5 linked regions of the Danio rerio genome follow. The protein of the gene in region 3 interacts with the protein of the main gene of each other region in a pairwise test. Links are inferred from orthologs where the notes say so. Each region holds a gene or a part of one and is shown on either strand. Other genes may lie near its edges.

What was found.
Region 1: the proteins of psma3 (region 3) and znf385c interact in a two-hybrid assay, tested with the Homo sapiens proteins (2 studies listed by BioGRID). The two-hybrid records come from large-scale screens. The link is inferred for Danio rerio from reciprocal best matches to the Homo sapiens genes PSMA3 and ZNF385C.
Region 2: the proteins of psma3 (region 3) and znf366 interact in binary tests that used the Homo sapiens proteins (3 or more experiments, as listed by UniProt). The link is inferred for Danio rerio from reciprocal best matches to the Homo sapiens genes PSMA3 and ZNF366.
Region 4: the proteins of psma3 (region 3) and dmc1 interact in binary tests that used the Homo sapiens proteins (3 or more experiments, as listed by UniProt). The two-hybrid records come from large-scale screens. The link is inferred for Danio rerio from reciprocal best matches to the Homo sapiens genes PSMA3 and DMC1.
Region 5: the proteins of psma3 (region 3) and fbxo7 interact in binary tests that used the Homo sapiens proteins (3 or more experiments, as listed by UniProt). The two-hybrid records come from large-scale screens. The link is inferred for Danio rerio from reciprocal best matches to the Homo sapiens genes PSMA3 and FBXO7.

Annotation. Positions count from the first base shown.
Region 1 is NC_133178.1:16,524,302-16,530,817, reverse strand, and holds the start of znf385c (zinc finger protein 385C), read right to left. Parts: upstream 4,592-6,516; 5' UTR 4,339-4,591; coding exon 4,329-4,338; intron 2,830-4,328; exon of another isoform or gene 2,590-2,829; intron 1-2,589.
Region 2 is NC_133183.1:1,327,032-1,333,650, reverse strand, and holds the start of znf366 (zinc finger protein 366), read left to right. Parts: upstream 1-2,056; 5' UTR 2,057-2,089; intron 2,090-6,619. UniProt on the Homo sapiens protein: Has transcriptional repression activity. Acts as a corepressor of ESR1; the function seems to involve CTBP1 and histone deacetylases.
Region 3 is NC_133192.1:12,629,205-12,635,246, reverse strand, and holds part of psma3 (proteasome subunit alpha type-3), read left to right. Parts: intron 1-2,279; coding exon 2,280-2,403; intron 2,404-3,406; coding exon 3,407-3,508; intron 3,509-6,042. UniProt on the Homo sapiens protein: Component of the 20S core proteasome complex involved in the proteolytic degradation of most intracellular proteins. This complex plays numerous essential roles within the cell by associating with different regulatory particles.
Region 4 is NC_133187.1:21,019,160-21,025,840, reverse strand, and holds the start of dmc1 (meiotic recombination protein DMC1/LIM15 homolog), read right to left. Parts: upstream 3,610-6,681; 5' UTR 3,410-3,609; intron 3,301-3,409; 5' UTR 3,193-3,300; intron 2,954-3,192; 5' UTR 2,953-2,953; coding exon 2,896-2,952; intron 2,187-2,895; coding exon 2,142-2,186; intron 2,066-2,141; coding exon 1,919-2,065; intron 1,811-1,918; coding exon 1,728-1,810; intron 1,411-1,727; coding exon 1,358-1,410; intron 1,243-1,357; coding exon 1,201-1,242; intron 1,110-1,200; coding exon 1,037-1,109; intron 929-1,036; coding exon 837-928; intron 700-836; coding exon 626-699; intron 1-625. UniProt on the Homo sapiens protein: Participates in meiotic recombination, specifically in homologous strand assimilation, which is required for the resolution of meiotic double-strand breaks.
Region 5 is NC_133179.1:946,440-952,481, reverse strand, and holds part of fbxo7 (F-box only protein 7), read right to left. Parts: intron 3,292-6,042; coding exon 2,974-3,291; intron 2,872-2,973; coding exon 2,727-2,871; intron 2,343-2,726; coding exon 2,259-2,342; intron 2,123-2,258; coding exon 2,027-2,122; intron 1,915-2,026; coding exon 1,738-1,914; intron 1-1,737. UniProt on the Homo sapiens protein: Substrate recognition component of a SCF (SKP1-CUL1-F-box protein) E3 ubiquitin-protein ligase complex which mediates the ubiquitination and subsequent proteasomal degradation of target proteins and plays a role in several biological processes such as cell cycle, cell proliferation, or maintenance of chromosome stability.

The sequences.
Region 1 (6,516 bases), on a different chromosome or scaffold from region 3:
TGACAGGCCAATCAAGCCCATGCCGTCATTTCGTTTTAATGATTGGCCCTGTCAGTCATCGGCTGCTGTGCGGGGAGGGAGCAGAAGAACAGTCACTGCGGCTGAACGTCACTACTGTAACCTCCATTACTGAACAAGCAGAGCACTTTTCAAGACATTGCATTGGGTCTGGATGACTGTGATACGACGCATCGGTGCACTGCGTCAAGTGTTCGTGGACTGATAAATCCATATCAGAAGGCTATGATGGAGGCCAGGAAACAAAAGAAGAGATCTGGATTCTCTACATGTGATGTCATGCACAGCAAGGTTTTTGGAAAATGAAGGAAGAATAAGGATTAAATCTAGATCCTAAACCTAAATCTTTAGACCCTATTTCAAAGAAAATGAAAAATAAAAAAAGATGCATTTGTTTGGAAAACCTGATACCTTAATGAATGAAAAGTAAGATTTAGTGTGACCGTTTTAAAAAGAAGAAGAAACTAAATATAATTTTAACCTGGGGATTTTGATGAAGGATACAACCCCTAAATGTCTGCAGTAAATATCGGAGATACAAACACAGCAAGATTTTTGGAAAATAGAGGAAGAATAAGGAATAAATCTAAAAAAGTAGATCCTGATTTCCTGATGCATTATTTGGATACACCAATGAATTAAAGGAATTAACACTAATGAATTAAAACACTAATGAATTAAAGATAAGATTAACGGGAGCATTTTAAAATGGAAGATGGATGCAACCAGTGGATATCTGCAGTAAATATCTGAGATACAAGCACAGCAAGGTTTTTGGAGAAGGGAGGAAGAATTAGGAATAAAAAAAACCCCAAAAAAACTCTAGATCCTAATTTTCAAAGGAACTAAAAAAGGCCAATATTCAGAAACACCAATGATAGATAAATGAATTAAAAATAAGATTAATGGGAACTTTTTAAAAAGGAATTTCCCTCATTCTCAGGTATTCACAGACATTAATTAGGAAATAAGAAATATGAAAATGATAGGAATTGTATTAATCAAATACATAATATATATTTGGATAGAGGTCACTGTAGACTAAAAAAACACATTCAATATTAAACAAAATTTTAACATTCAATATTAGGAGTAATAATGGACAAATTACTACAATAGTCATGATTAATAAAAAATGTAATGGTTTATTAAATAATAATAATAATAATAATAATAATTATTATTATAATAATAATAATAATAATAATAATAATAATAATAATAATAATAATAATAATAATAATAATAATGCTTAATAAAAACAGCAAATATAAAGTTTTAATTCTTACATTTTGATAATGCATTTTTTAGAAAAACAATATTGTGAAAGTAGTTAATATAAAATAAACATGCATTATTAATGGAATATATGCATAAATTAATACATAATAGTACATATATTAATAATACATAATATTATGCAACTAATAATAAATTGAATGGCTTATTTATATTGCTTTTCACATTTAACCCTTTTAGACATCAATTACAAAATAAATTTGCAAACAGAATTAAACTTTTTATTTGCAATAAAAATAATATTTATTATTAGTTGTAAAATAATTTTTATCACATTCAATATTAACTAATTGCATAATATTAATAGATAATATGAATTATGTAATTACTAAAACATTTAATTGCTAATTTAACATTGTTTTTCATATTAAATACTTTTAGACACATCAATTCAGAAATGATTTTGCAAAGAGTTAAACCTTTTGTTTGTAATAAAAATAATTCTTTATTTTAGTTGTAAAATATTTGTAAAAAAAAAATCACATTCAATATCAACTAATTGCAACACTTCATGATCATTAGAAATAATCTCTTTTAGGTGCACCACAATTATTAGTTATAACATTTGTATCATTAACTGTTTACTTAACATATTCTCCTCATAACCAGAGACTATTTTTAAATTCCTACCATTTTTTCATTGCAAATGTTTTATGATAACAATAATGATAATAATACTGATGATGATGAATAAAATGTCTGTCTGCAGGGTGTTTTTCAGTAAGCTTTTCCTAGAGAGTGCTGTGGTGAAATGCGGCTGGCAAAGAGCATTCGCTTAAAGGATGGCATTACCGCATTCCCCACACTTACAAGCACACACCGTCTGCAGCGCTGCCACGACAACTGAAACCAGTGAGAGGGGGGTGAGAAAACACAGCCCAAAATCAAAAAGAAAAATATAACCCAATGATCACGGTGTGACTTCGGCTAACAGAGCAGAACAAACTGACATTCAGACCCCTCCATAATTACAGACCAGAAATGTTCTGGACAGAAGCTTAGATTTTAATTAGCTGCTGATTTATGCAACGCACTTGGATGTGTAACAAAGACCACAAACTCCACTTAAGAGTGTCCAAATGCACTGATGTAAATTGCAATCCAGTCATGTTAGTGATATTCAAAGTAATTTATTTTTTGGTTGGGTAAAATCTGTGCCAAAGAATGTCAAGGACATGACCTTTGTCCTCATAACTGAGCTTTTCAGGTTCACATTAGCAGGTAATTCACATTAGGTTGATGGATTATTAACATACAAACATGCACACTTACTAGTGATCGAGTAAATGTCCAGATTTTGAGACTAACTGTGAGTGAACGCTGGTGCCATTTTATGCTGCAGAATCCTCTATTTTCCCCTTCTCTTTTTGTCCTTTCCTCCATTTCCTTGGGTTTATTCTGCACGTCTTTATTTAAACAGCTTTGCGGTTTCAGTGTAACTTTGTGTAGATGTGTAACATCTGTGTGTCCTTTTGTCTTGTGTTGCTAAGCGGACAGAGCATTGGTATCCAGCTAATAATAAGAGAAGTTGATAGCAAGGAGGTGAGAAGGACACTTAAATCTTCACTGCTTCCTTTTATATTGTCTAGAGTATATTTATGAACAGGCTAAAATCAGATGGTTTGTAAAATGTGAAATTATGATTAGAATAAATGTTCTATAATGCAGCCTGTGTTAATATATAGGAAAGTGACATCATAAAGAGATTAATTGGAACGCACTGATACAAATAGAAGCAAAGCTAAAAATGACGTATGTGATACAAATAATTGAAGCTATATTTTTAAATATCACATATACAAAGCATCAATTAAATTAGGACACAAGGGCAACGCAAACGGCAAAGGCGCAGTTTATGAAATGCATAAACAAAATGCTTCGATTTCTAACGAAATTCACGAGCTAAAAAAGAAAGAGAAAATTCAAACGATTTTATTAAATGAGCTGCGTTATTGATAAAGCATTTTCAGCGCGGACAGGATCAATCCTTTATCATTTTTAATTTTCCGCTCCGCTGCTTTTTAGCTCTTGTGAGGAACACCAGGTGCTCTCAGAGACTGGACGTCCTTTAAAAAGCGGGACTTTAAAAAAATAAATTATTGTTGAAAACAAAAACATTTTTTTTCGGCGTGAATAAAAAAAGCAAGTGCTGATTAATGTTTTGATATGATTTAAAACAGATGCGGGGCACAAATGGGTATTATTATTATTTTTCTTTGTTCATAAAATGCCTACAATAAAATTGCACATGTTTTCATTCAGCTTTAAGGAATCATGAATTCCTGTGCTGATTTAAACAACTGTCTTTCTCTGGTGATAACCGGGCAAGCGAGAGAGAAAGAGATAGAGAGAGGGCACGAAAGTTTTTTTTTAAATGTCATTCCAATGCGCTCGGCCGTATAATGAGAGATCAGCAAAAATACACCATTCCCTTCACCATCTCTCATCCTCTCATATTCTCTCTCTCTTTTTCTCTCTCTCTCTGTATCGGTCTTTTGCACTATACAGAATTCAACGCAGGAAAAAAAGGCTTGTGTTTTGAGGATCACGGCACCTGCTACTGATTAACCCGGGGATATGAGTTTAAAAAAATTAAAACTATCTCTCATTGTGGACTTACAAATTTGGGATAAGGCTTTCACAGGTGTTAACTGGACCACACGTCATTCTAGTTAACCGGCTGACACGGTGAAGGCCGTTTGATGGCACGCGCATGATGATGACAGTCGCACGCGCATCACACACACACATACACTTCTGGCTTTTCTGGCTTCTGGAAAAATCTACACCGTCTGACTTGCATTACTTGGAAAGTTTAGGTTGTTTTCGGTCTCATTTTGGATCGATTAAGCAACACCAGTGAGCACCTCGACTGAAAAGCTGTGCGCGTGTCGGCGCTCAGTGCGCAGATGACTTTTGGCATCCTTTTACCGCAAATCAAACGTTACCACATTTACATTGTTTATTACAATATATCAAATACAATAACATCACTATCTGAACTGACTTACCGATCAGCATGTTGTGAAAAGGTAGGCTTATCCTTGTTTCCCCCCAAAAAAGAGAAACCAACCAACCAAAAAAAAAAAAAAAAAAAAGGAAACGAGAAATCAGCACAATCAAAATGGTTAAATACTCTCCGACAGCTCGATATATGTCTTTTCCTCTCAGATTTCTCACTCTTCGATGAGTCTCTCACTCTTGTTTCGGCTCCTGGAGTTGATGTGTCGGAGGGATCGTTACAGACGCTCGCAAGTGACGCGCGCACTGCTCCGCTGATCTGCGCGCGCCCGACGGGGAAGAGGAGGAGGAGGATGGAGAGAGAAAGAGTGTATGAGCGACAGTCTTTTACCCCCCATATACTCCCCCTTCGCCACCACCACCTCCTCTCCCGCTCGCTCTTTTTGCTGCCTGCCGCTTAACCTGAACGAACGGCACAGATGGGGAAATTAGCTGGTGCTATTTTCTCCTTTCATGGTCCTTGATTTCGGCTAAATAATTCTGCGCGCGTCTGTGACTGGGGGTGTGTGTTTCTTCCAGCTCCAAACATTCTAGATAATTTAGCTGGAGAATATTAACTGGGATTGTGAAATTGAAGAATATGTTGAAGAAAAAATGTTTTAATTAATAAATATCAAGTGCTACTGTGCATTACAGCTCTGTAAACAGATAATTAGTGTGTTCAAATCAAGAAAGATTACTACTTTGTTGCGTCGAAGTGTTGTCCAAACTCGGTCTCGGAGGGCCGGTGGCCTCGAAAGTTCAGCTCCAACCGTAATCAAACACACCTAAATTAGCTAATCAAGCTCTTACTAAATATACTAGAAACTTCCTGGCAGGTGTGTTAGAGCTAAGCAGGACACCGGCCCTCCAGGACTGAGTTTGGACAACCCTGAATTAAGGATAATATTGCGTGCACCACTGTCGTTTTAAATGTCCGATATATATATATATATATATATATATATATATATATATATATATATATATATATATATATATATATATATATATATATGTTTATTTATTTATTTATTTATTTATAAGTCACAGTCCACCAAAAACGTACTTAGTTGTCAATTTGCTCCAATATGCACACATTAAAAAATCCAGGGTTCCACACAATTCATTCATGTTGCCAAACACAAATGCATTAAATCAACATAACTAATTTAAGTTGATTGAACATAAAACAAATGAGTTCTTCTACACCAAAAATCTCCAAAATTGTGTTGTTTCAGTTCATTTTAAATAAGTAGCTTGAACAAGCAGCATTTTTTTTTTGAGTGTAGGAAACTTTTATAGAACATTAAATGGAGTTACCTTGTTAAACAAAAAATTATCAATCATCTACTCCCTAAAAACTTAATTAAGGCAGACCAGCTCTTGAGCACTGTTCTTCTCATTCTCTCAAACCCCCTCTACCCCCTTTATTTCCTCACTTCCCATTAACAATCCTATAACCCTCTCTTCACTCCTAGGTTTAACAGGGGTGTCCCATCACTCAAAAATATTACAGAGATGTTACCCCCACTCTAAGTCTCTGGGCATCATCTTAGGACGCCCGATCAACCTACCTACCTGTTCACTGTTTATCCCCTTTTTCCCCGCTGTTCCCTTACCATCCCTTTCATCCCTATACAATAAAGTCTAGCTTAAAGTGGGGCATTGTCCATGCTGGTGAAAGAAGTATTTTAAGTGTTGATCAGTCATAAAATGTAGATCAAGAGGAATAATAACTTGCTGCATGTGGATGTAGATTTAATGTAGTAATTGTAAATCTAATAAAGTTTCATTTCACTTCATGATCCACAGACCTTAATTTGGTTTTGCCTGTATATGTGGGGTTTTGACTTTTAAATTGATTATTGCTGCTGACTTGCAATTTATAAATCACTAATGATCAGGTAATATCACTAATGATAAAATCCTTGTGAACCAGAAGCTGCTGAGACATTTCACTATACTCACTGTAAAAAATGCTGGGTTCCACATAATCAATTTGTTTTGGTATAACATGAAGGAACAAGGCTAACTTATTAGTTTTGAAAACTTTAAGTGGACTGAACATACACTACCTGACAAAAAGTCTCGTCGCTTACCCAAGTTTTAGGAACAGCAAATAATAACTTGAGTTAGTTGATCATTTGGTATCAGAAGTGGCTTAAATGAAAGACAATTTTACCAAACTAAAATATG
Region 2 (6,619 bases), on a different chromosome or scaffold from region 3:
TAATAATATTTTTACAGTGCTGTGAGGGTTGGGTTTAGGGTTGGGGTGGGGGTAGGCGTTAAAAAAATTATTTTATTGGGTAACTTAATAGATAACATAACTAATACTCGGTACAACTACAGTTTTTACATTACTGTGACGGTTGGGTTTAGGGTTGGGGTGGGGGTATACGTTAATAAAATACAACAAATGAGAAATTTAATAAATAATAGAAATAATTTGCGTTAACTTCCGGCCGCAAACGTATCCGCTCTAGCAACAACCGCAAACCGGTCGTTATATACATTGCCCATCCCTCTCCCCCCCATCCCTCCTAGCTCTTCAGCTGTCACGCGCAACTCACCCCCACCTTCCTTCAGGTACGTCTCTCGTGCACACGCCCCTACTCAGATACGCCGCTCACTCCACCCCTGACACCCCTCAACGAGCCTGACACACACACACAGACACACACACAACGCGCTGGAGCGACTCCCTTCAGACTCAACACGCATGATCACGTTCATCAAATTTGCTTAAACTAAGCGTCCTTAAGTATTACTGTATTTCACAAGGATTCTGACACAACATCGCGACGCATACGCTTTCATTGCGTCTAATGAGGAAACACGCAAAACTTGGAGGGCTCATGCTGAAAGGCAGAGTAATGCCCTGTCTTTGACAGCTCGCGACTTCACCAGAGACTTTCTGAGTACATTCACATACGACACCAATACTCCGATTTTAATATGATTAAGATTATACTCTTATGAAAATTCTACCGTGTAGCCTAAGCAGGGCCGGCGCATCCATAGAGGCGACCTAGGCGGCCGCCTAGAGCGGCAGTATAGAGAGGGCGGCATCCGCGACACCTCCCTTACCACCTGCGTCCTCAGTTATGTCCGCGACACCTCCCCCCTCAGATATATTCGCGCATAGACGACAGAATAGAGAAGCCGGCGTAAGCGACACCTCCATCAGCACCTGCATGTCCTCATTTATATCCGCGCATAGGGCGGCAGAATTGAGAGCGCAGTGTCTGCGACACCTCCCTCACTCCCTCCCTCAGCACCCGCGCGTCCTCAGTTATATCTGTGCATAGTGCGCTGGAATAGAGGGCCGCGACACCTCACTTCATTTTCATTACCGGTCACTTTCGTTTTCACATTGGGGTTGAGGGCGGCGTGATCGTCCTCTGCCTAGAGCGGCAGTTCAGCTTGCTCCGGCCCTGAGCCTAAGCAGCGATTTTATTTCCTTAAAGAAACACCGAGTCACGAAATGCGGTGGATTTTCTTTCTGTCGCCAAGTCGAAAGTTAAAAATGAAACACCCGAAATTGCATGAAACTCTGGATAACCTGTGATGCAACTAATTGTTTTATACTGGAACTTGCCTTCAAAAAGTGCTTCCTTGGTCTTATCCACATTTCTTGCATGTTAAACTCACGTCCACCACAACAGGAAGTAAAAAAAAAACCCTGGAACTGCGTTAAAGGCGTAAATTTTTTTAACACGTTAATTATTTAAAATTAATTGCACTAATTTTGACAGCGCTAATATATACACATATTGTTTAGAAAAACTCACTTAATTTTGACTCTTTATTTCTGAAAACAAGGCAATATTTTTTACTTGTCCAGAAAATGCCTCTTGATTTAAGAATTTGTTGATATTTTGAACTAGATAAAACACAAGAAAACAATTTAGTCCACGTCTGTAATTATTTACACACATTTTCATAAGTAAATAAACAGATTTAGAGTTGATTTCAGATTTCTGCACGCGCTCAGATTCCATCTGGGCCTAGTTATGAGTAAAGGTCAAAGGTCATCATCAGAAATCATACGTTCAGTGTCTGATCTGGTCTCTCCAGCGTCAGCTTCAGTGTTTCGAAGAGGAATGGAGATGTGTATCTAGTGTTTCCTTATTTTGGGTCAGGAAAGCACAGGCTTGTTGACTTCCTCTCCCTCCCTTCCTTCCTTCTCTGCGAAGGTACTCATCTGAAAAATGAGAACAAAGTGATTGTTCCTGTTCTCTTTCTTAAGTCACTTCAAATGCGGAGTGTGAAGCTGGAGGCGCGTAGAGAGAGGAGAGACGAGCAGGAGACGACAGGTAAGACACACACACACACACACACACATGCACACTGCAATTACCAATGCACACATGCAAATCTGCATATGATCTGCTCAGAGCATTACATATCACATGCAAAGACAGTTATATGACTTCAAAATGTGAACAGTTCTCATATGAAATTTGAATTCTTTTAAAAAATGTTGTATATAAATATATTTAAAATAAATTGATTGGAGATAAATTTAATTTAATGGTTGTTTGATGGAGAGATTTTGCCAACATATGGATTACTAATTGATTTCTTACTAATTTCTTTTGTTTTCATCATGATGACAGCACAATATTTGACTAGATATTCTTCAAGATTCTAGTATTAAGATTTAAAGAGACATTTAAAGGCTTAACTAGGTTAATTATGTTCATTAGGGTAGTTATTGTGCAACAGTGGTTTGTTCTGCAGACAAGCAAAGTATATATTACTAAAGAGGGTTACAATTATTTCCCTAAAATTATATTAAAATCATCTAACTGCTTTTATTTCAGCCGAACTAAAAGAAAGCACACTTTCTCCAGAGGAAAACACTATATTATAGGAAATATTGTGAACATTTGCTTGGTCTGTTAACCCTTTGACTGCCTCTCTACCAAGCAGCTGAGCGTGTTCTGGCTGTTTTAATTAATTTCAGTAATGGCTGTTTTAAATAATGACACACACAGCATTGTTGGTTTACACACAAAAAAATCAAACAAACATAGTCCTGTTGCACCACTACACTCGATTTTGGTTTTATTGTGAAAGAAGAAGCAAGAAAACATGTTCATTGAGAATCTGAAATATTTTATGGCATACTTTAAGAGGATTTAGTACTCACAAATGTTTTATTTTGAACATTATATCATATTGCACTTTATATTTTATGATTTTTCATATATATTAAGTACTATAAACTGGCATATCTACCATTAGGTAGAGGCTGATATTTTAGAAATTATGGGATGTGCATTGAGTGTGTTAACTACAACATTAGGAGTTAAGAAATGCAATCCAAACATTTTTTTTATTTCAAACATCATTTAAACTGAATAACAATCTTACAGGAGGGCGAATAATTCTGCCTTCAGCTGTTCATGCATCCAAACATTGCTTGGCTTTACATGAAATCTGCATCTTTTATCAATGCAAACATGACGTGATGTGCAAACCGCATAGTGATTTACGAGCATGTGAATTACCTGTTCAATGCTGGTGTTTCTGTCAGATGAGTTAGTTTTCTCTGTTCCAAACTGGAATTTTTTTTATGGCCATAATATATATACAGTGGAGGGCAAAAGGATTTTTCTCAAGCGATATTTACCAGGGCGTCACGGTGGCGCAGTGGGTAGCACAATCGCCTCACAGCAAGAAGGTCGCTGGTTCGAGCCTCGGCTGGGTCAGTTGGTGTTTCTGTGTGGAGTTTGCATGTTCTGCCTGTGTTGGTGTGGGTTTCCTCCGGGTGCTCCGGATTTCACCACATGCGCTATAGGGGAATTGATGAGCTAAATTGGCCATAGTGTATAAGTGTGAATGAGTGTGTATGGGTGTTTCCCAGTGTTGGGTTGCGGCTGGAAGGGCATCCACTGCGTAAAACACATGCTGGATAAGTTGGCGGTTTATGGGACTAAGCCGAAAAGAAAATGAATTAATGATATTAACTGGATTAAGGAAATTTTCGTAGTATTATTTGTTTCGTCTCTTTGGTAAACAGCAGTTTTAAGGACTTTTTAAAGCGCCGTTAATTATAATATCAAGCACCTCTGTAACTCATACCCCAGCATACGCAGTGCCATGAAGGTCCTTACTAGTAATTTAGACTCTTCTTAGTCATTTTTAAACACTGTGCCAATTTAAAGTCATGTTGAAAGAACTTTAATAAAACATGTAGTATTCAATGCGGTTTCTGAAATATTTATCAAATGCGCATTATTTGTTAGTGTTGTTGTACAAGATTTAAATGTATAATGTAACATTTAAATGTTGCCTTACAACAAGAAGGTCGCTGGTTTGATTTCCGGCTGGGTCAGTTGGTGTTTCTGTGTGGAGTTTGCATGTTCTCCCCGTGTTGTTGTGGGTTTCCTCCGGGTGCTCCAGTTTCCCCCACAGTCCAAACACATGCGCTATAGGGGAATTGGGTGAACTAAATTGGCCGTAGTGTGTGTGTGTGTGTGTGAAATAGTGTGTATGGGTGTGTCCCATTGATGGGTTGCAGCTGGAAGGACATTCACTGTGTAAAACATATGCTGGATAAGTTGGTGGTTCATTCTGCAGTGGCAATACCTGATTAGTAAAGTGACTACGCCGAAAAGAAAATAAATGAATGCTAATTAATTAACCTTTAAATGAAATTATTAATGATTAATTTTACTTTTTTTAATTCTGTTTTTGACAGCAGCACAGTATAATTGTTCAAATAACACCAAAAACCTATTTTATTTCAATTGTAATTCTGCCAAATTAAAAAACCTGTGTTTGTTTTTGCGTTTGTTACATGCCTTGAATCCGTACATTTGGAATTCAAGTACATTCAAAAAGTGTGGGGACCCTGATTTTTAAAAAGCATTTTATGGTCAATATTATTAACCCCCTTCAGCAATATTAGTGTTGGATTGTCTCCAGAACAAACCACTGTTATACAATGACTTGCCTAATTACCCTAACTTTACCCTAATTACCCTAGTGAAGCCTTTACATGCCACTTTAAGCTGTATAGAAGTGTCTTGAAGAATATCCAGTCTAACATTATTTGCTGTCATCATGACAAAGAGAAAATAAATCAGTTATTAGAGATGAGTTATTAACACTAGCATGATTAGAAATGTGTCCCTGCGTTAATTAAAAATTAAGTTATTTAAAAAATTAAACAGGATGGCTAATAATTCTTACTTTAACTATATATACATTTTTTGTGTATATTATGGCCAGAAAAAAACTCATCCAGCTCAGAGCAAAGAAAACTAACTCAACAATCAGCTGCTGCTTTACATCTGACAGAAACACCAGCATTCAACAGGTAATTCACATGCTCGTAAATCACTATGCGATTTGCACATCACGTCATGTTTGCATTGATAAAAGATGCAGATTTCATGTAAAGCCAAGCAATATTTGGATGCATGAACAGCTGAAGGCAAAATTATTCACCCTCCTGTGAAATTTTTATTCTTTTCTTTATGTTTAACAGACCCAGGAAACTATACAATACACAGTATTTCCTTTAAAAAAATTTTGATGCTGGGTAAAGTCTCATCTTTTAGAATAGCTGTAATAAAAGCAGGTTATATATATATATATATATATATATATATATATATATATATATATATATATATATATATATATATATATATATATATATATATATATATATATATATATATATATATATTACCCATTTTAAGGTCAATATTATTAGCCCCCTTCAGCAATATTAGTGTTGGATTGTCTCCAGAACAAACCACTGTTATACAATGACTTGCCTAATTACCCAAACTTCACCCTAATTTACCCTAGATAAGCCTTTAAATGTCACTTTAAGCTAAATACTAATTTATCTAGTCTAACAAAGATCTGGAAACTGTGACCCATGCTTTAATCTCCTCTCAGTTGGACTACTGCAACTCCTTGTACATTGGTCTACCTCAGTCAACACTCTCTCGGCTTCAGTTGGTCCAGAATGCAGCCGCCAGATTGATAACAGGAACTAAGAAAAGAGATCATATCCCCCTTGTCCTCGCCTCCTTACACTGGCTTCCTATAAAATTCAGAGTTGATTTTAAAATCCTTCTTTTTGCATATAAAGCTTTGCACAATTCTGCCCCGGTTTATGTCAGCGAGCTTGTTAGGCCATATACAGCTTGTAGACCAGGGCTGCTCAATCCTGTTCCTGGAGATCTACCTTCCTGCAGATTTCAGCTGCTACCCGTATCAAACACACCTGAACCAATTAATTAGGACCTGAACACCATGTGATAATTACAGGCAGGTGTGTTTGATATGGTTAGCAACTGAAATCTGCAGGAAGGTGGCTCTCCAGGAACAGGATTGAGCAGCCCTGTTGTAGACCATTAAAGTTCCATGATCAGTTTCTTTTGTTGATCCCTCGGTCTCGCTGCAAATCAAAAGGAGATCGAGCTTTCTGTGTTGCGGCCCCAAGTCTCTGAAACAGTCTACCGATAAACATCAGGATTTCTCCATCCTTGGATACTTTTACATCTAACTTAAAGACATATTTTACTGCCTTGCCTTTGAGTGACTCATACATGTAATTTCTCCATCTGTATTTTATTATTACATATACACATACATATATTCTTTTCTTACACTTTTTAATACAAGTTTTATTTATTTTATTTTATTAAATGTTTTATCTCATTGTGCTCTATAAATAAAGTTTGCCTTGCCTAATATTATGTGCTGTCATCATGGCAAATATCTTAAAAAATCAGCTATTAGAAATGAGTAAATTAGTTATTTTTAGTTGTGAAATCCAACCTTGAACTGTATATTAAATATGTGATTTGCAAACT
Region 3 (6,042 bases):
TGCCTACCGTTTCAACTACCTGGGGTCCGTTCTTCGTACGTGGATTACTCAGTTAGCTGGATTTGGATATTGACGATTTGACACGATCCAGGATCGTTTCGTTCTTCAAAGCTGATCCGAGAGTTGTTGTCATAGCAACAGTTCTGCTAGGTCAAACCTGATCGGGAGCAGGTTCAATTCATATAAACAGGATTAGATCGGCTCAGTTCAAGCAAAGATAATACAGAAAGTATGTTCCGAATTCTAATATTTTCTTACAGTAGTAGTTATATACACTTGGGAAAATGGTACATATTTTTTTAACTATATATATATATATATATATATATATATATATATATATATATATATATATATATATATATATATATATATATATATAAAGTTATAGTCATTAATAAAATAAATAAAGTTATACATATTAATAAAACTTATGCAATCTGCACCATCGAAATGAAAGTACAGACTGTCACCTTGTGGTGCAAAGAGAAAACTTATTGATATGAACTTTTTAGATCGCTTTAGTACAAATTGTGTATAATAGAAATGCAGAATATGTGACTTATTTTAAAGCAATAATACATTTATGCTGTCATAAACATTTTTTGATAGTTAATAGTGATTTGAAGCTTCACAAAAGTTGCAGACGCCTTTACCAATATCAAAATGCTTTTGTAAACAACCAGTTATTCTTTACGCCGATTAAAAAACGGCTACAATAATATAGACAATATTTTCTAAATTTAGAACTAAATACACTGATATGCACTGAAATACATGATGAATACTCTTGACACAAGAAAGTGTAAAGCCTGCAGCTCACAACAAATGTGGAAGGTTATTGCGTGTCATATTTAACAAACCGTTTCTGCTAATTTGACGTAATTTTGCTCACATGGATAATTGAATATTAATCAGATGATGTCATTACGCAGCTGTGCCGTCAGCCAATCGTTGCATTGCTGATCATGATTTCGAGGATCGATAGATCTGTCCTTCACAACACAAGCAGCGATCTCAGATCAGTTTATCCAGACATTCTAATCTGATTCGCGAACTTGTTTGAAGAACCAAATTAGCGAGAGATCAGTTATCAAGATTAAAAGATCCCGGATCTGTCAAATCATCTTAGATCATTTAAGCGAGGTACGAAGAACGGACCCCTGACCTGCATGGTCTTTGTTTTACCCATAACCAAATCATAAATAAATAAAGGTAATGTACACGCAAATTACCAACTGTCAATCGCTTTTTCCGTGGGACTCTGGCATGAATAGGCGTATAATCTTTATAATGGCGTCGACAAACTTGGTTGGTAAAAAGGTGCACAACCAACAGTAGCTAAAACTACTAAGTACAAGCGTGAAAGCAAAAGATTAAAGGAGTGTACTGATGCCGTGACACATTACCTGATGGATTCAAAACACAGAAGAGTCGTTAGATAGGGACAAGCTGAATTAAATATCACGTTTAACAACTAAAGTGAGACGCGATCCAGCGGTACATCCTTGATAAACTGTCCAACGTGCACTGCTCTTTAGGGTTTTGTGCTCAAAGCTTGATGAGCATTTTCAGCGGTATAGTGTGGTAGGAGAGCTTTTTAGAAATGCTAGCTGAAACGCCAATATGGATGTGGATAGTTTTCATTATAAAATGGCATTTTAAAACTAGGACGTATTAGTGTAAACGGGGCTGTGTCGGTCATCGGCGATGGACAATGGCATCGTCTATCTATTCAAATGTCTGAGTATTCAAAGTAGTGTGGTAAACAATATATTAGGAATCGTGTCATGTTCTCACTCTTTAAAAATGTACAAATGTGCGAAATGTAAAACCTTACCCTCAATAAAATCCTTGGTCTATTCTACGCAAGCTATGATGACTTTCACCTTGATATTTTAGCACGGATGTATGCCTGTATCTGCTGGCAGCAGCATGTCTGTGATGTACGTCATCACACAAGTGACATGATCACGGTCTTCACGGCTGAGCTCTAAAAGTCATTCAGTGAAAAATGATACAATGTATAAGATCTTAAATATAAAAAAAAATATATATATATATGCAAATTCTTTATAGAAATACTGGAAATGGGTTTAAAAATCATATCACTGTTATTAAAAAAAAAAAATCTATCGCGATATATATTGATATCAAATTATTGTCCAGCCCTACCTTTACCTTCAGCAGAATTCAAGTAGGCCATTTTAATCTAAATGAATTCCGAGATTAATCTAGATTAAAAAAAGTTTAAAACAATTGTCATTTTGTTTCTTCAGCACGGCGATTGGCATTCGCTGCAAAGATGGAGTGGTGTTTGGTGTAGAGAAGTTGGTACTGTCCAAGCTGTATGAGGAAGGCTCCAATAAGCGCATTTTCAATATTGATCGGCACGTTGGAATGGTAAGAACATCGAACAAGTTGTTTCTTTCTCCGTTCAGTACAATTGTAAAATTTAACAGTCTACTTTGGATGCATCTAAGGTTTTATATAGATCATTTTATTATTACTCCCTTATTTTTTGTATTATTTAATGAGCCAACACGGGTCTTCTGTAGTGTCTTTCTTTCAAAAACCTTCTCAAACTTTTAATAGCATTTTTTTTAATCAGATCTTGAATAATAATTTTGATCTTTTTGCATTTTACACTTCCATTATTAATTTTTGAAGGGTGTGTGTTGGTTGTAGGGCTGCACGATATTGAAAAAAAAACATACTTATTACATTTATATTGCAATTTTTCTCAATATAACTTAAACATTTGATCGGGGTGATTTTGTAGGGGAGTGCATGAAACAATCAATAAATTATAAGCAGAGATAAATAGAGCAAATACAGAAATAAAGCAGTCAAAGGTGTACAGATACAGACATACAAAAATCAAATGTACAATAAAGCTGTATAAAACCATAAATTGTGCGGCTGTGGTGTCAAGAGCTGTATTCATTACTACCGTGTTACTGTTATTATTTTAAATGGATTGATTTTGCCATAAAAATAGATGTTGATATGTCAAGATGGAATAACCAATAATGGAATAACTTTTTTTTTCTGTTTTAATATTTAAAAAGTGTAGTTATTTTTTAATTTTTATAAGTTACATTTTATAAGCATTATTAATTGTCTTCAATCAAATAATTCTTCTGTTACATTCTAATATCCTTATTAGCTGCTCAAGAAATATTTCACATCATTATGCATAGTATTGTTTTCACAAATTTTTATTTAATAGATTTAATTTATTTAATGCATATTTTATTTTATGGAATTCAAAAGAACAGCAAAAGCTTTCAAAAAAGTTTTGTAACATGCATTATTACTTAATAAAAAATTCTTTATAAAAAAGCCAGCATTTGAACTGTAGTGTAAAACTACATATATTAATTTCTGTCTATGTGTGTTGTAGGCTGTGGCTGGTCTTCTAGCAGATGCACGATCTCTCTCAGAAGTGGCCAGAGAAGAGGCTTCAAGCTTTCGCTCCAACTATGGCCATGACATCCCACTGAAGGTAAGAGAGATTAAAGCAATAGATAACCCCACAAAACGGTTCACCATCTAGTTACTGTTAAACATTTCTAAAAAAAACCTCAGTCATCACCAGTAGTCCATATGAATGAATGAATAAATTAATTAATTAATAATAAAAAAACATATTCAATTGAGTTTATCTTTAATTTTTAAACACTTTTTACAATTCAAATTGTGTCAAAGCAGCTTAACGTGGATGAAGAAAAGAGAGCAAAGGACATATTATTTCAGACTGTGAAAGATTCTAGAATGTTGGTGTTGTTTTAGTTGAATTGAAACAGTTTCAATTCAGTTTAGTATAAATGTCACTGTTGAAGTTCAGATCAGTGCAAATGCCAGAGGGGACAGTAGCAAGAAACCAAAGTTCACCAATGGGTGGATGTGAAGAAAATCAAAACCTCAGGAGAAATCAGGCTCAGTTGGTCATGGATAGGGGCCTGTACCATAAAGCTGAGTTAGCCAGTTAAATTTCAGTTTGGTTTGCACCAATTTTGGTATTAAGGAAACATAAAGGCAGCTTGACTTTATCTAGTCTTTGTTGTCATGGTATTATGGAGCTGTTGAGCTGCCTTCATGGTACCTAAAACCCAAGATTTGCACAAACTAATGACCTGTTTCTACTGAGTGGTACAGTACGGGTCACAGTTAATAGGCTTGCATTTCCACTGCCAAAAGGGTAGCAAAAGCACTTCTCACAAAACAGATGCTTTATAGACATAAATACTTGTGTATAAATGTTCATTACTAACCTTTCTATGAACATGATACGATTATAACTGCAGATCAATAATAGGGTGAAATACTGTAACGTCTGCAATTATATAAAATAAATAAATACAACATGTATATGAACGCATACAGACCCTTACAGTCTCAGATATGTGACCAATTACAGAAAAACTACACACAGCAGACATTTAGTCCTTAATTGGGTAAAAAAAAAAAAAACACGCAACATGTAGCCCAGAGTCAGTGCAAACCTCTCGTCTGCATCTTTATTCTTCCCCAGCACATGTAACGTCTGTTACAGATTAATTCCATCATTCCGAGTTCATAATAGTCCAAAAGGTGATGATAATAGTTAAACATGGCAGTGTTCATCTTTTAGGTCGCTGAAAATGATCATTCGCTCCTTTATTTTTTCCGGCTTCTCCTTTGTTTTTTCGCACATCAGTCTCGCATTTGCCAGTTTCTGAAAGGATCGGATGTCTGAAGCACTTCAATAATCATGCGCACGTTATTATCATCAGCTCAAGAAGTTTGCTATTTCAAATATAGATGCGCAGCTCGTGCTTTAGACGGCCTTGTAAACAACTATGGTGGACAGGGTCGATTCTGCTCTTCCTCTTGGCTTTGTGGTTGTTCATAAAGACAATAGCCCCTTTCACACAGTGATACCGGTAAATATCCGGAAAATTTCCGGAACGACTTTACCGGTATATTCAAAAAAGCGCTGTTCACACAGACGAGGACATTACGGAAATTTTCCGGAAAAGAGCATTCACACATCCATTCCAAAATACCGGTAAATTCTGACATCATTCACCACAAGTGAGCTTTAAACGGCTGCGCTTGTATTTGTAAACATTTGACTAAATTACATACTCTGTGGATGATCAATATTGTGAACAACTTTCACAGGATCACTTTCGCATGTCGAGATGTTCATAATATCTGCGTGTGCAGGCTCTCATATGCGCACGCAAAGCTTGAAGGTAAACAAACAACGGCTTATCATAAGCATCTCATCGATGATTATTTACACAGTTGGCATTAAGAAGACCATACAAACGTAATCTGACTAACTTCTAGCAGCTAAATGTGTCTGGAAAAATATTCAAAGGCTTTTATCCTCACAAACCGCGCGGACGTAAATGCGTCTGACTGTTGTGATTGGCTAAAGCAGACGTCTCACGTCAGCACGTTCTAGACGTGCACGCGCTTATTACGGGAATCTTCCTTCTGCATTCACACAGCGCAGCATTCCGGCAAATTGCCGGTAATGTTACAACTTCTCTTTCCGGAAAATAGCCAGAACGAATTTTCCGGTATTTTCAAAAAGGACCTGTTCACACATACAACCGTTCCGGAAAATTGCCGGCAATTTTCCGGAAAGGTCTGTATGTGTGAAAGGGGCTATAGACAAGGTTTGTTTGAGCGAGGGTCGACCATGGCTTGTTCTTATATGTATATATTATTAAGGTGTAATGTCTCGGTTGCGTATTTAAAAAATGGCGGTTCCTTTGTTTTTATTCTCCAAGCTTGTGCATGAGCAAGTGACTTATCTCTGTAAACCAATCGTGTTTAGGTGTGCGTCTTGCTCCGCCTTTTGGTACCCTTTTGTTGTGCTAGGTACCCTTCCGAAAGGGTACCCAAAAAGTGGTACAGTGTGGTTCGCTTTTTGGTACTTTTTGACAGTAGAAACGGCCATAAAAGCATACCTAATCGAACCACTCAGTAGAAATGGGCCATAAACTGAAACTTATTTGGCTAGCCATCTAATCTGGCTTCATA
Region 4 (6,681 bases), on a different chromosome or scaffold from region 3:
GGGGTCCAACCTGGTACTAGTAAGGTTTTAAGTGGCCGGTGAGTGTGTGTGTGTGTGTGTGTGTATGTGTGTATGTATTTTACAGGACTAATAATTTAATAATTTCACCTTCAATTATACATGCAGCATCACCTTTTTTCTCACAGTCCACAACAATTTATTAAAGGATTCAGTCTCTAAACACTGTGTTATCTGCTCTGATTTGCCAGAAAGTGCACTCTGCTGTGACTGGTCAACAGCTTACATAGAAAAGTAAATTCTCATTACCATAAATGCTATAAACTACTATTTGTGACAAATTTGTTTAAGTTTTGCAAGAGGTAAAACTGTAATAATTGACCAGCTTGAATTATTTTTTTACAAACGAACAATAGCTGCCATTCATGAAACTTCTCAATAATTTGTGTGTTAAATGGAATTTTCAGGAATCTATATTCCAGGTGAGCAATTTATGTGTACCAACTAACAATTTTAAAAATACAATCAGTTTCATTAATCCAAAAACAGCTCTTTTAGCTTTTTTACACTTAACTATAATAAATGTTTAATAAACTTTAAGTAAAAGCTCTACCTAAAAAGTTACCTCAGAAGATTTACACATTCTTCCATCTCTTACCAGACTCACCAAAAGCTTGAAGACACCACCTTCTTCATGAAACTTGGCTGCAACAAAATCTAGCAGTTCCATCTGATGCTCACCTCAAAAATTAAAAATAGAGACAGATTTGTAACAAAACACACAACACACATTTTGTGGCTCCTCTTTGTCTAGCCAAATAGATTCTCAAGTAAAATGACACACAAAAACTAAACAAAGAAGTAGCAGCTATTCTTACTGGTATACGCACGTGCATAAAGCACATTGTCCAGAACAGCTTCATGATCCACATTGAATCTGTCAGCGATGTCCTTCAGCCTCTCAGGCCGACTGATGTTCACAATTATTAAGGTAAAAAGTTCAGAATGACTTCTCCATATGAAATGGATTTAGTAAAATGAATCACTCACACACAGCAAGCAAATGCACAAATGATACAAGGTGTTTTCGGTATCAATGAAGATGACCTTTCCTCCTGTGTACCCAAATTCCCCAGGAAGCTGAGCAGTAACTGAAGGGAAAAAAGAAAACAAAATGATGTGAATGGTCTAAAAATGAGAATTAAATTCCGCATTTAACATTTACACAAGATTCATTCTTACCACACAGAGTATGTGAGAGCTGAGTCTTTCCAGTTCTGAATTCTAAATGAGGCATGGGAAACAATTCACAAAGACAAAAACATATCATTTTGGCAGAAGTGATGTACGGAAAATGCCTAACATATCATTATGGTTTCAAATCAAAACATCACCCTACCACCAAAAGCCTCGGTGATGGCCATACTCTCCACACCTCCTCCAAGGAGTTTGCTAAAGTAAATATGAATAAACCGTTTCTCCTTTCATGTCAACAATGTAAGACTTTCATCGGAAAACATATATAAAACAACATGTTACTGCTTGTACACTGAAAACCTTAATAAGTTGACTGAACTAAATGAATAAAGTAAACTCTTTGCCTCAGTTTATTGGAGTAAATGAGTCCTCCAAAACTTACATATTTCAGTTTATTTACCTTGCCAGTTTTGTAGATTATACTTAAATTGTTCAGTTCACCACACAAAAACAAATTCTAGCCACAAATAAAATTTGGTGTCTAAAAATGTAAGACCTATAAAGCTTCTTACTCAAACTCCAAACTGCCAGTTGTGATGTGAAACACTTGCTTTCTCTTGATGCAGTATTCAGATGCTGTCTGGAATCCGCATGTCTGCATGAATGAACAGAACATATTACATTTACAACCTCCTTGATCGATGAGTAGTTACAAAATACAGCAAAAAATATATAAATCATGTCAACCAACACATCAAATTACCAGCAACTTTCCAGCGGCTTCTTTAATTTTGTCCACTTTAGCTTCAGAAAGTCCCTTTATGTTACAGAGAGCACGGCGTGTGGTCATCTGGATGCCTTTCACCGTACAAATCCCTACAGACTTCAGTTTCTTTATGTCGGCCACGTTCTTCAGAAAGATCATTATGGGTGAGAACCACTTTCATGATCATTTCATAACTTCATAATAACAACATTTTACTTACAATGCCATGCTTCTGCAAGAGCTCAATGTCTTGAAAAAAGGATTCCTGGAAGAGATTTGATAGCAAATGTTCATCACATTACATAGAAACAACAAATAAATAAAAAACAAGTGGGGATTTTCAGATTTAAGTTGAGAAACTGTAGGTTAAAAAATCATGTGCTTGTCAGTTTTGAGAATTTGGGGTTTTCATAAAGTGTTTATCAGTCTTATGTAAAGATAACAGCCAAAATACAATGTGAGTGTTTCTTTTATCACACATTTTTTTTTCATTGGGCAGTGGATTTCAATTTCAATATTGTCAATCAAAATGAGTTTTCCTCTTCTGTACTGTGCCATAAATCTCCACTTTAGCAGCATTCATTTTAACCAACTTTAGTTTTATTCATATCTTTAATCTGAAGGTTTTAACAGATCGATGTGCTCATAATTAGCCTGATTATAAACAGTATTTTATTCTACAATACTTTATTGTTGTTACTGGTTACAGTCTTTTTCTGAATTATGAAGTAAAAAAAGAGATACCTCTAATATGTATTAATAACGACTATTCCATTTAATGTTTAGGCTGTGTTAGAACTGTACACCACTTTACTGTACAGTTGTATTTTATGGTTTTGACATGAGTGTTTTGCTTTATGCACCATTATGATGTTATATTTTTTATAAACACAAGACCTAACACGGTTAAATAAAAAAGCATGTTTTTGCACGATTGAATGGGCTGTGGCTGCCTGAAAATGAATGTAAATCACCTCATCATCTTGGTATCCCGACTCCTCTTCCAAAGTTTGTTCCTCCAAAACTTTCATACTTTGAATGAGACAAAAAGAACGTTTAAGTTATAATAAAATACCTGTGATTTGGCATGCTATTAACCACGTAATTTGGTAACAAGTTTACCATAAATCATTTAAAACTTGCGGCTAAACCGGCTAATTTACATGTACGTTTTGTTGAAGCGCTGTGATAAAAAAATGTGTCTTGTTCCTTGTCATAACGTTGTTAATTAATTATTTTTAATTTTTTTTAGAACAGAAATTACATTTTACCTGTCGTTTATTCCTGAGAAGAAGCTGAAAGAAATTTCGCGCCACAATCGTATGTTGACACTTTGGCTCGGCGTGCACGCGCATCAGTCCCGCGCCCAAGCAAGCTTGCTACATAAAAAAATGTATAATAAATAAATAAATAAATAAATAAATAAATGTCGTTTTAAACTGCTTTTTACACTGTTGTTGTTAAATTGTTAAAATATCTCTGTTTTACCTTTAATGACAAAAATTGACCAAAAACATACAAACTAATTTTTTAGGTTTATTGTTACAGATAAAATGTTACATTTTAATTTGAAACTTGTTTAGGAAAGATTTTATTTCAAAGGTAGGTGATAATTAAACAAACACAACTATAAGCATGAAAATTAAATAAAGGTATGATGACGAATACTTCAGCTTTGCAGCATGTGTGTATTTTTTAGCACTTAAATTATACATAAAGAGGAAATAATCACAACACCAGACACAATAAAGTACATTGTTGAATAAATATATTTTTATTGTTTTCTCATTGTGTTCCATCCTTCTCCATCTCCTCTTCCTCTTTTTTCCTTCTCCCTTTCCTTCAATCCTTTTTCTATTTAAACTTCTCCTCCTCCTTAATCTTGTCATCCACCTCCTCCTTATCCATCGTCTCTTCTTTTTTCCTTTTCTGTCCTTCAATCATTCTTGTCTTTAATCTTCTCCTCGTTAATCGCCATCCACTTCCTCCTTCTCCATCATTCTCCTCCATCTTCTCTTCATCTTTTTCCTTCACCCTCTCCTTCAATCATTCTTCTCTTTAATCTTCTCCTCCTACTTAATCTTGTCATCCACCTCCTCCTTTTCTATCATTGCCTTCTCTATCTTCCCCCTTTTTTCTTCTCCCTTTCCCTCCATTCATTTTCTTTTTAATCTTCTTCTCCTTCTTAATCTTATCTTCCACCTACTCCTTCTCAATTATTGTATCCTCCATCTCGTCCTCCTCTTTCTTCCTTCTTGTCCTCCACCTTAATTTTGTCCACTTCCTTCTTCCCCACTGGATCTCCACAGGATGAATCAGGTTGCTGCAGCTTGAGGTCTCCTTCCAGCACAAACCAATCCACTACTACAAACCCACAGTGCTTTGCAGTGCCGCACAGCTTTATATAAAGATTGGAATAATTTATAATTAATTGTTATACTGTAAAATTTTTTTTTAAGAAAAATGACTAAGAAAATGTCAGCTGGATAAACTATTTTGAATGCAACAAAAGCTTTTTTATTTGTGAGTCTTAAAAAAATATTTATTCGAAATGTATATATTTGGTGGCAAAGGACTCAAAAAAGGTTTTGGGAAACTCAAACAACAAGAACTGAAATTTATTTACTTCATAAATAAATTTTAAACAAAATATTAAGACAAATATGTACAGTTGAAGTATTTATTAAACCCCCTGAATTAAAAGACCCCCTGGTTATTTTTCCCCCAATTTGTTTAATATAGAGAAGATTCTTTCAGCAGATTTCTAAACATAATAGTTTTAATAATTCATTTCTAATAACTGATTTATTTTATCTTTGCCATGATGGCAGTAAATATTATTTGACTAAATATTTTCAGGACACTTCTAAAGGCTTAACTAGGTTAATTAGGTTAACTAGACAGGTTAGGGTAATTAGGAAAGTTATTTTATAATGATGGTTTGATCTGTAGACTAGAAAAAAATATAGCTTAAAGGGGCTAATACTTTTGACCTTATGGTTTTAATTACTAAACCCTAAAACTGTTTTTATTCTAGCCAAAATAAAACAAATAAGACTTTTTACAGAAGAAAGAAATGCTATCAGACCTACTGTGAAAATTTCTTTGCTCTGTTAAACATCATTTGGGAAATATTTAGGGAATTTCTGACTTTAACTGTAGTTTGCAATACTTAGGCTACTACTGCATATTGCACATATCAGCAGGTTCTTTTTGCACCGTTCCCGCATGTCTGCAACTCCTGCTGCATCACATCAGGTTATCAGCAGTCAGTCACAGAAACAGAGATATTTGGTCATTTGATGAGTCACACACAAATTCTGATTCAGTTTGCAGTACACACACATACATGCACATTTAACTGTTTTTGCATGGGCAGCAAATGTAAGTTAGCCATTACTGTACATGATAAATCAGATTTAACATCCACAAACCAGAACTCCTGTTGTGTTTAAAGCACCCTTATATATAGTTGTACTGTCATCGTGCAGCTATTGTGAATCTAGTAGATATGAATTACGTTTTCCTTTCTGTTCTTTATTTTAAACATGCACTGTTTTGAAAATGTTTTAAACTTGTTAAACTCATTCTTGAGGTGCAGTTGATCACAGAGTTGAAACAGATCTTTTAATCACAGTTTCTCTGCAAATCCTGTTCTGTGAACATGTTTATAAGCACTACTATGGAGACATGTTAATGTGCTACTGTCAGTCAATTCGGTGGTTTGGTAAAACCACATTCCTATGTCACGTTCCTATTTTAAAGTCAGAAAAAAAAATATCTTGTTGCATTTATATCACTCTGATGTGAACGTGAACACACTATACCTACACAGAGTTATGCCCAAACAGCATCCAAATGTTGATTTTGCACCATAGGTGCCCTCTTAATTGCAGTTGTTAAAGTACGCTTTCTATTACGTTCTGGCATCTTTTTAGCTTACTTCAATTAACAAAAATAAATATGTCTTTAGTTAATAATCTAATCGTTCTGAATTTTTATACGATTTTAGTTGCAAATATTTTTATGTTAGACTGAAGTCAAATCTGCTTTTTGGATCAAAGCAATAATGGAGGGTCTGCCTTGAAATGTTTCATCTTACATTACTTAGTGAGACATGTTTCACCAGTGTAAATAATACAGTTTAGTCACTATGCAATGTAAATTACAGAGAAAAGACAACAATGGAGAAGGACTGGTTTTTATTCCTGTAATGTGGAGAAAAATGGATCACTGACTACTGAATGTAGTTTTTTCTCAAACATTTCACAATGGTTCTGCACACTGTATGGCTTTTGTCTGAGGAATAACATTGCAGAAGCTTTACATGCATGTTATACATGTAAAAGACACTGTTGGTAGTGAATATCTTCTGAAAGTTTAAACATTTCTGAATCATAAACAAGAAACAACCGTAATCTGCAGACGAGAAAATTTCACAATCAACATCGGCCTTGTGTGCCCTCATAAATATTACAGATCTTTCAACCACAGTTATAGATTCTCTACAATGTCAGTGCTGATCTGGCATTCCAATGGCCAACAATGCACCGTAAACACCCTCTTAGAAACATAATAAACCTACAAGTCAAAATATTCCCAGACAGCTGCTATAGTCTCTCACTCACAGACATGTTATGAAATAGCTATAATAAAAAAGTAAAAGGTCATAGCTTGGATGTCAGTCTATGCAGAATGTTTTTAGTGAGAAAGGCAGAGAGAGAGGGAAGTCATTAAGATCATTCTCCATTAAACGCTAT
Region 5 (6,042 bases), on a different chromosome or scaffold from region 3:
AAGCCAAGACATTCCAAAGGAAAACCTGCAACTGTTCCAACACCCCACACACACACACACACCCACCCAAAGACACACACAACTGAAAGAACGATTAGAACTCAAAAACTCACTCCAAAAGAAATGTAATGTGTGTTTGTAATCTATATGCTCTGCCCTAAAGCTAAAGTAATTAAAATAGTATATGCATGCGTTAATGAAGTCCCTTTTGATCTTATATAGTATAGAAATGCCTAGATGCTATCTGATGTGCGTTTAGAGTGTCGTGTTTAGTAGCATTACGTTTCTCCTGCTATTTTACAACCATATGACAATAACTTTTACAGCTTGCATTCTTTAATGCTCAGAGGTAAGGTCCAGCTGTATGCTCAGGGACGACCCTCATTATGCATATCAACGGTCAAACGCTCAAATCCTTGCCCTGAAACCACTGGTCACTCAGTAGAAAATAGGTGTGACTTGACCCATAGTTAAAACCCATTTTCTCCCAGACATTGGAGCAGAAGGGTTTAGGAGTCTTTAACAGTTGTGTGGAACTGAACTAGATTTGCCATTCTTTTATCTAAACTCTTTATTTGCTCGCTTGCTTCTTTTATATGTTTTTGTTGTTATGTTTTGTACGTTTGTTTTGATATGTTAGACTAGTCAATAAATCAGGCTATAACCATGTTGTCTTTGTTTTGCCTCACAGAAAAGGTCAATTTAACGACAGAGCGTTTGCTACAAGCTTTACTAAAACAAGTTTACAGTTTACCAAAACGTCTAAACTATTCATCTACATCACATGTAGCAGGGCTGGAGTGGGACTCCTTTTCAGCCCTGGAGTTTCAAGCAGACCGGCCCACCTCAGTTCACGACTGACTATATTAATATAAGGTCATTTCCAATTCAGTTTCTAATTATGCTATCATGTCTTTTTCAAGAAAACAGCTGCTTTAGAACTTTAAATGTTCAACAACCGTACAGTTTGATATGTCTCAACAATAAAAATGAAAAAAAAAAAAAAAAAAAAAAAAAAAATAATAATAATAATTTAGCCGGAATAATAATTACATCATCATTACATGCAGGCTGCATTTTGCTCATGGGGCTGTGAGACAATAAATAACCGGAGCTGCGGCAAAATAATGAATAAAAAGAGTGAGGCTTTGTTCAATAAATATATAAATGAAAAAAAAAGTGCAACTGCTGAGAGTGCAAGCAGCTAGAAACACCAGCCCTCGCGGCCAAAAAACGGACCGGCCCACCGGAAACTCTCCCGGTCCTCCTGATTGGCCAATCCGGCCCTGACAAATACTTATAATTCCCTTTCTAAATAAATAAATAATTACAGTCTGCTCAGACGAGCGGGCAAAATCATTGTTATATTTATTTAGTCAAATTAACTATAAGTTAATTCAGAATATTAATAAACATTATTATTGATCTTTAATATTCACTATATACACTAATTATTTTTTTAAATACTGTTTTAGTATGCGAATTAGGACGCAGCATTTGTTTATCCTCCTACACAAATCAATGGTAACAGGTTTTCAGCATTCTCCTAAATATTTTCTTTCGTGTTCAACAGAGTAAAGAAAGTCAAAGGTTAGGAAACACTCGAGGGAGAGTATATAATGATTGATTACAATTTTTGCATGAACTAAACCTTTAAAAAAAACTAGCATTTGTCAGCCGATATTGATATGGCCACAGACATATCGTGCATCCTAAAGTGTATATTTGCGCATTTACCCCTAAAGTCTCTGTGCAGCAGGTGTCTCCAGAGTGAAGCATCATGGGTGGCGGTGTTCAGGTGCCGACACACAGCCGACAGCGAGACGAGAGATCGAACGTCCAGCAGACGCAGCAAACGCAGCAGCAGCTCAGGAGGAAGAACAGGCAGACCGAAGAGCAGAGGCAGACCCAGAGCTATACACACATGCACAAAGACATTTATTAAACACTTTGACAAACCCGTGTGAACAGTACATGCACACAAAGCACTCTGACACACACGTGTGAACAGTAAACACACACTCACCCTGTCTGGCAGTGGCCATGAGCGGATACACCAGCTGATCTCTGACCAGGCGAGAGAGTCTGCGCAGATCTCTGTAGACCACACCTGAGCTGCCGCCTGCACACACACATGGCAGGTCATTCAGTCCATAATCCTGCTGTGCTTTTACAGATGATTAATGCGTGTGTGTGTGTGTGTGTGTGTGTGTGTGTGTGTGTGTGTGTGTGTGTGTGTGTGTGTGTGTGAGCTTCACCTGTCCACTCAGCTGTCACATACTCGTCAGGTTTGAGCAGCAGTTTGCGGGAATTCTCCAAACTCGTCTCCATCTTCAGGACGGCTGATCAAAAGCAAAAACAAGATTGTTTTATTCCCCCATCGGCAGATTATTCTGCTTGTTTTAAAGAAATTTTCACTCATTACTTCAGAAAACACCACTATATTTTTGGCTTGTCTAGAAAATGCTTCTTGATTTAAGAATTTCGACATCTCTGGACTAGAAACGAGACAACAAAATCTAGGAAAAGCATTTTTACAGGATAAAAAACATTAAATAAAAGAAATCTTAGCTGTAAAAACTAAGTCACTTCACTGTTCTAATGTCGACTGTCATGTAATGATGTGCACCCTTTGTAAAGCTGCTTTGGAATGATAATAATAGTAAAAAACACTTTACAAATACACTTAAATTGAACATATCAGTGTTACATACGGTGTATATTACCATTTATGACCAGAGTTTGAACCATGGGCACGGCCACCACCGACACCAGGCTGTTCTCCAGCAGAGGGTGGACATACTGGATTCTAAACACACCCCCTGCGGCCTGCCAGCCAATCGGCATCTCCCCTGAGCTCACGGCTCCGCCCTGAAGCGAGAAGGAGAGAGTAAATACAGAGGACATTTTCATTCTTGGGTGAACTTTCCCTTTAGGATAGAAAGAACATAGCCCAGGTGAAGTGGATATCACCTGTGGGATGAAGCCGGTCTCCAGCAGCAGCAGGTGTAGCGCCAGCATTAGGCAGTCGGAGGGGCTTCTGCAGGTGGAGGAGTCTAGCAGCCGCTCCAGAGCGAGAGGGAGGAGACCGTCTTCAGCCTCACAGCAGAGCAGGGGAGGAGCCGCAGCACACACACACTCCTGCTGCTGCTGCTGCTGATCCATACAGTCCTGCTGAAGATCCACACACTCCTGCTGCTGATCCACACGCTCCAGCAGATCCTGATCCACACACTCCTGCACATGCTGCTCCATCACACTGCTGCTACTGCTGACATGTGATCCACCAGCCTGAACACATACACACACACACACACACACACACACACACACACACACACACACACACACACACGCCAAGTCATGGCTTCAGTCCGTTTGTCTTTTTGTTTTTATTTTCATGGCTTGTAAGATAACCCCAGCAGTGCAGTTTCAGAATTATAAGGGGAACCAACAGTTTTAACCCAAAAATGAAAAGTCTGTCTGATGAAGAAGAACCGGAGTTAGAGATTCAGTTAAAAAGAAAGTTTGCTGAAGATAGTTTGTAGTTTCATCAGCAGAAGCCAACTTCAACACTCACTTAGAGTTCGTAGGCCACTCTGTACACAAAATGCTACACAGGGACTCAAAGAAATCGTCTCCCACCTCAGGGGCACCACCACAGCCACCACAGTGTAAACACAATATGATTTTGCTGTTGACATTATTAAAGTACTTAAATAGATAAATAAATAAATAAATAAATAGCAGCCACTAAATTATTGTGGATTGATTGGTGCCACTGGCGTAGCAGATTCACTGCTATTCCCCCTCTCGATCTTCATTGACAGCCCGCACACACCTTCAATAGTCAGCAATGGCAATTTCATATTTAACTTAAGGTACATCAATAGAGGAAGCTGTATTAATAATATTGTGGCTCAAAAAGGAATATGGATAAATGATATTATTAATCTGTATAGTGGGTGTGTGTGTATGTAGTAATGTCTTTTGTTCAGTTTGTTCATCATTTGTTTGTTTTATTAAATTATTCATTAATTTTAGACATGGCATATACTGTACAATAAAAGACTGTAAAAAATAACTGAAAAGTTTTATATATATATAAATATTGACTTTTATTTGGTTTGTGCATGTACTTGCTGAATTATTTCAAGAAATAAATTGCAATATTTCAAGAATAATTAATTAAAATGAATTAAAACCACATTATTTCATTTACCAGAAACATAAATACAACATTACACTGATTTTTTGTGTGTGTGCCACCCCAAGATTCAGCATGGCCTCTTCTGGCAAATCCTAAGATGTTCTGGGGATGCCACTGTCCCACCTGGGTTCAAAGTTCACCTAAAGAAGGTGGAGGGCAGAAACAAAGAGAATGCTGATATGACATATCTAGCTTCATCTTGTACAGCAGACGAAAAATAAAAATGAACTGATATAAATCAGAAGGCCAAACTAGATATGATCTGTGATTTGGCAGAAGGATTACAAGCGATGATCAGTGGAATGACTTGGCCAGGATTAATGGATGAAGATTCATCAAGCAAACAAGACCCAAAACTAGGGAAAATAAGGACATTATTTTGCTAGAGAAAGCTCACCAGAGGTAAGAGGACAGCAGAAGATAACAAAGGCAAAAAAGAAACATGAGACCCCGCTGCCGAATGAGTCTCCAGTGAGCCAAGCTCTGAAACTAACTGCTGTGCTGAAGAGGAGCACTCAGTCCGTAAATAAGTGATGCTGGGGATGAGTACAAAAATAAGATAATCTCAGGGGGTCAGTGAGTTAAGCAACAGGGCTCCGTACCTGTTAACATAAACAACATTCTCCCCAGGGGCATCGGTTACAGACAAAACTCACGAATGATCAGAATAGGTGAACTGTACAAAGCTGATGACGAATTAAGGCAATGATCATACCAAGAAGAAGATAAGGCTGCAGCTAGGGACAATACTAGGTAAAGCCCTTCAAGATGAGGGGCGGAAAGGGCTGAAACAATAAAATAAATAGGAGTTTACCCATACTGCTTAGACAGACGGGAGACTGAATTCAGTGTATGCACAGATAAGGGAAGTTCAAGAGGTGACAGATTTAGTGCCTGGATTATCAGACTAAAACTTTTAGGGCCGCAAACATCATGGGGGAAATGAACTTTGCCATTAGATGAGAAAGAAAAAAAAAGATAATTACTGAAAAACTGCAAAGACTAATAGCTGAATATAAAACACCAGAGCCAAAAGCCTCAGGTCACAAGGAAGAATAAAAGTAAATACAAATAAACGGATTTCAAACAAAAATCTGGAGAGAATGACTCTGTCTCTAAAGAGGAATGGGCAAAACTGACCCCAGAACAGAGACTAGAAATCATAGACAAGAGAAACTCAAAGAAAGAGTCTAAAACTAAAGCAGTTAAAAGCAACAAGAACGTTGTTAACAGTAACAGAGTCACCCAAATCTCAAGAGGACTAGGGGTGCCTGCCTCCAAGTAAAACAACCTTAATATATTATGATGGAATAATCTTTAACTGGTGGTAATTCACTTGCCTAAAAAAGCCAAAGAAACTTAAACAGCTTTCAATATTAAAGACTTCAGAGGTTATGTAGAAAAGGAAAACGTTTACAGATCACAAAAGGTGTTAGTAAACTGAAAGCTGCCAGCACAATATTAAAAAGTAGAGAAATAGGCTGGTTATTGATTAAAAAGTAAACCAGGAGGAGGAACTAAAGAGAATGGCCGAAACAATTAAAGCCAACACTAATAAAGTCAGAGAGAACTTAGGAGAAAAAATATAAATCAAGCACATAGTAGAAAATGACTGCAAAAAATTTTCATAAATAGGAATGTGATCAAACTGTGCCATTGCACCACCCCACTATAGACAATACCCTATTAATAAAAGGGAAAGAAAACAAATACAGGAATTAAAGCTGAAAGATAAATAGAGGAACTTGATAATGCACCAACAAAATTCCTTATACAAGTGTTTGCAAAACCAGATGGAGGGTGGAGGTTGGTAACAAAATAAACCAACAATA